Macaca fascicularis: one gene and its partner. The protein of the gene in region 2 binds, or shares a complex with, the protein of the main gene of each other region. Links are inferred from orthologs where the notes say so. Each region holds a gene or a part of one and is shown on either strand. Other genes may lie near its edges.

Region 1 (2,224 bases), on a different chromosome or scaffold from region 2:
CTAGAAGATACCCAAAAGAGTGAGTCTACCCTTTTTCACATTCAGCCCTCTACTGATTTGCAAATAGGAGTCAGTGCCCACCCTGGTCTTTTCTCTGGAGTCCAGTAGGCCTAGACCTTCTGCCATTTTCCTGATGAGGTCTATATTTGAAATTAGGAAGATTAAGTTTGAATCTTCACATTTCTGATGTCTAGGAGATCTTCAGCAAGTTCCTTAATGTCTTTAAGCCTTGGTTTCATCATCTGGATAATAGGGATATCACACACTATTCAGAAGGTTGTTATGAGACCTAAATTAGCTAAAGCAGGTGAATCCTCCTTACTCCCTGCATGCAGCTCTCCGGAGACCTCTCCTGGTCATTGTGGGTGTCTCATGGTGGTCTTGGGCAGTTAAGGAGAAGTTAGGTGTCCAGAAGCAAAGATGGCTCAGAACTAGATAGAGTCTTGGGCATTTTGTAGAGAAAAACTCTTGTCTCCTTTCAAAAATAATTAAAAAAAATTAGCTGGGCATATTAGCCACTCAGCAAGGCTGCACGTGATAGCTCCTGAGTGCCCCAACTTTGGGTGGTGTCAATACACGATATCACGGGAGCCCAGGGTAGTCACCACGGAGGTGTCAGCCTCAGTGCTGTGGGCAGATGGATGGGGAGAGCCCTCCCGGAACTGGAGTCACTGGAGCAGGGTTGGGGACCTCACTGAGGGTACGACCTTGATCTCTAAGGAGGAGGGACTGCCTGGAAAAGCTGACTGGGAGAGAGGACTCGGCTGGGGGTGAAAGGGACTAGAGAAAGCAGGGGGGGGGCGGTGCTTATGCAGGACCTCAGATTCCTGGGGAACAGACTCCACTAAATAAGACACAGGAAACCACGGCTGATTCTTCAGCAGAGGCCATGCAGAGACAGGAATGACCTGAGAAAGTCGGGAAGTGGAGGGAAGGATGGTGTGGGAAGAGCAGGAATCTTGGAGACCATCTTAGAGGCTTGGCAGTCACCTGGGCACAAGATACAAGGGCCTGAGCCAAAGTGGTGAGGGAGGGTGGAAGGAGGCAGCCAAGAGAATGACCCTCCATGCCCACCGGAAGGTGGAAGGCTCTGAGAGTGATTCCTCCCACGTGCTGAGCACTTGTTCTCCCTCTTCCTCCCGCATAGCAGTCGGTCTCCTCCAAACAGAGGGTCACTGGTTTGGACTTCATTCCTGGGCTCCACCCCGTCCTGACCTTATCCCAGATGGACCAGACACTGGCAATCTACCAACAGATCCTCATCAATCTGCCTTCCAGAAACGTGATCCAAATATCCAACGACTTGGAGAATCTCCGGGACCTTCTTCACCTGCTGGCCTTCTCTAAGAGCTGCCATTTGCCCTTGGCCAGTGGCCTGGAGACCTTGGAGAGCCTGGGGGATGTCCTGGAAGCTTCACTCTACTCCACGGAGGTGGTGGCCCTGAGCAGGCTGCAGGGGTCTCTGCAGGACATGCTGTGGCAGCTGGACCTCAGCCCTGGGTGCTGAGGCCTTGAAGGTCACTCTTCCTGCAAGGACTACATTGAGGGAAGGAACTCTGGCTTCTAGGTGTCTCCAGGAGACCATGAGAGCTGGGTGCGGTGGCTCACAAATGTAATCTGAGCACTTTGGGAGGGCAAGGTGGGTGAATCACCTGATGTCAGGAGTTCAAGACCAGCCTGGCCAAATGGCAAAACCCCGTCTCTAATAAAAATATAAAAATCAACCAAGAGTGGTGGCGCATACTTGTAATCCCAACTACTTGGGAGGCTGAGGTGGGAGAATCACTTGAACCCAGGAGGCAGAGGTTATAGTGAGCCAACATCTCGCCACTGCACTCCAACCTGGGTGACACAGGGAGACTCCATCTCAAAAAAAAAAAAAAAAAAAAAAAATCACAGTCATTGTTTCCCTGTTCCTCACCCCATCCACTCTTCTTCATTTTCATATATTTTACTTGTACATTTGCTTAATTAATATCTACCCCAATAAGAATGTAGGCTCTGCTGGGCACAGTGGCTCACTCCTGTAATCCCAGCACTTTGGGAGGCCGAGGCAGGTGGATCATCTGAGGTCAGGAGTTTGGAACCAGCCTGACTAACATGGTGAAACCCCGTCTCTACTAAAAATACAAAAAAATTAGCCAGGGGTGCTGGCGGGAGCCTGTAATCCAGCTGCTCAGGAGGATGAGGCAGGAGAATCGCTTGAACCTGGGAGGCAGAAGTT
Region 2 (2,250 bases):
CGGATTGTGGGCATCACCATTCTTGGAGGTTATTTCATTCTATGGTACGTATCTTAAATTTGGTACATAACAATTGGCTTATTAGTCTTCACAAGTATAACCCCTTAGTCCAGGGCTGAATTCTCTGTTTATCTTAAACATTTAGGGAAGTCATATTTCAAATCCTACAGTCTGATAGCACAAAATATAAGTATGTAACATACTCTCAAAACACACAAGGACAAGTGCTAAGAGTGTGTGCGTGTGTGTGTGTGTGTGTGTGTTGGTACAAAACAAAAACTTGCAGTAAAACAACACGCCCTCTGAAAAAACAATTACATTTCACAAAAGATGGTGTCTATTGGGCTTATTTCTAGCTGGAAACAAGGGACCTTCCCACTACAGATTGGGAATAAAATAGAAGAGCGTGTCAACATTGGTAGGCTTATGAAGGCTTTCTCAAATTTTTTGTCTATACTACTAAGAGAGGACAAACAGACAACATTCATTTGGAACAATTATTTTCAAATTTGACTCTGGTTTCTTTTCTCTCTCCCACCCACAACTATAAAGTAATCTATTACACTTTATATGACCCATTATAACACAAATCTGAAGGTTTCTTCAGTGAAATTACACAGTTAGGTCACACATCTTGTTTTCCATGATCTTATGAGTCTGAGTAGAGCAAGTTTGGAATTGAGGCATGTAAGATGCAAAAGTCTTCTTACTAGAAGTTCCTAAGTTGAAATTATTTTCTACAAAGTGTGAGCAACTGTCCTGGAGAACTCTGATGTCCGTGAATAAACAGGGGGCTGGGAATGGGCACAATACCCTTGACTTGTCAGTCAAAAGCACACCACTCTCTCTCTTTTTGATTGAGGTGACCCCTAAATAATAGATAGACTTTTCATCATTATTTTCTTCAGGGAAATTTCCCTCCAGTCTCAAAAGTTCATCCAATCCTTCTGAGAATGTGAGGTGTGGTAAAATTATGTTGGGACGCTGATCTGATAATATAAAAAATGCCTGGGCCTCTATCTCCCATGAGCTATTAGAGAAAGAATCCTTCAATGGAGAATTTTTGCTAGAGAAGCACTTGGTAACTGAACTATTTATAAGCCCTTGTTCTTCATCAGTTTCACTTGGTTTAGAGTTGCTGATCAGCGTGGCATATTTAACAAAGGGTTGTCTCTGGCTTTCATCCTCACAGGTTACCTCGGTACCCTCAGCCTCAGAGAAGTTAACACTGTTGAACTGGTCACTAATACAAACAGAACCCTTTTCAAGATCTGTTGTTGAAAGTAGAGAGACCACAGTTGTTGGCACCATCTCATCTTTATTTTTCCATGATGTATCAACACTGATATCTTCTGAAATTGTTTCAGGCTCCAAAAGAAGAGGACCACATGTCACTGATGCTGTATGCTTGATAAAAAGATGCTCAAACGTTTCTGGCTAAAAGAAAACACACATTTTAAGGCTCAATTATGTTAAAAAATTTTGCTTCATTATGTCATACTCGCAGAAATGGAAGTGTGTTAAGTTAATAATAAAGGATGTAAGTCAACCACAAATTAACTAGTTTTTTACTAAAATACATATATCAAAAAGCATAAGGAAGAGCCCGTTTAAGATAGCATTTGAAAGTGGGACAAGACAGACTTAGACTTGAGTTCTTCCAATTCTACAACCATGAACAAGTACATTAACCTCTCTGCCTTTCAATTTCATCATCTCTAAAAATGTGCTTCATGGTGTTGTGGCTAGAAATAAATTAGTGTCTGCAAGTGCTTAGCTCTCAGGAAAGATTGGCTACTGTTACTGGAAAATGCTATCTTCTGAAGATACTTTCTTCCTAATATTTTGTAGCAAATTACATTCCCACAAAATTTTAGCCCAAAATTGAAAAAAGTGGATTATAATAAAGTGAAATGACCAAAATAACTTGTCTAAAAACAGTTAAAATAACTGTATTGTGAAATAAGATATGGTATGAAAGTAAACTAATTGTGTTGACTATTAAAAACTTATCTGCTGTACACTGAGCATCTGCTTGAGACTATCTGAAAATAAGAGCTAATAATATCATATGTTGAGAACAATGATGATGAAAGAGATGATCACAAACTGGTAAATTACTATTCTCTATAAATAACTTCATGTAAAAATATTTACTATGGACATGTGAAATGAAGACAAACACACAAGACAAATGTACATCATATTTTTTATAGAAATGATTATATCACAAAGAAAAATCCTGCCAAG

Evidence for each region. Proteins that work in one complex are often made in the same cells at the same time.
Region 1: the proteins of LEPR (region 2) and LEP are in contact, whole or in part, in a crystal structure (PDB 7Z3R), measured with the Mus musculus proteins. The link is inferred for Macaca fascicularis from reciprocal best matches to the Homo sapiens genes LEPR and LEP. Residues at the interface, in NP_666258.2 of Mus musculus: Tyr439, Leu440, Thr441, Arg466, Ser468, Leu469, Tyr470, Gln499, Pro500, Ile501, Phe502, Leu503, Leu504, Ser505, Val560, Phe561, Glu563, Asn564; in NP_032519.1 of Mus musculus: Lys26, Val27, Asp30, Thr33, Leu34, Lys36, Thr37, Thr40, Arg41, Gln92, Gln96, Asn99, Asp100, Glu102, Asn103, Asp106, Leu107, Leu110.

The regions. Positions count from the first base shown.
Region 1 is NC_088377.1:169,928,486-169,930,709, forward strand, and holds the end of LEP (leptin), read left to right. Parts: intron 1-1,147; coding exon 1,148-1,507; 3' UTR 1,508-1,724; downstream 1,725-2,224. UniProt on the Homo sapiens protein: Key player in the regulation of energy balance and body weight control. Once released into the circulation, has central and peripheral effects by binding LEPR, found in many tissues, which results in the activation of several major signaling pathways.
Region 2 is NC_088375.1:169,057,178-169,059,427, forward strand, and holds the end of LEPR (leptin receptor), read right to left. Parts: exon of another isoform or gene 2,196-2,250; intron 1,438-2,195; coding exon 613-1,437; 3' UTR 501-612; downstream 1-500. UniProt on the Homo sapiens protein: Receptor for hormone LEP/leptin. On ligand binding, mediates LEP central and peripheral effects through the activation of different signaling pathways such as JAK2/STAT3 and MAPK cascade/FOS.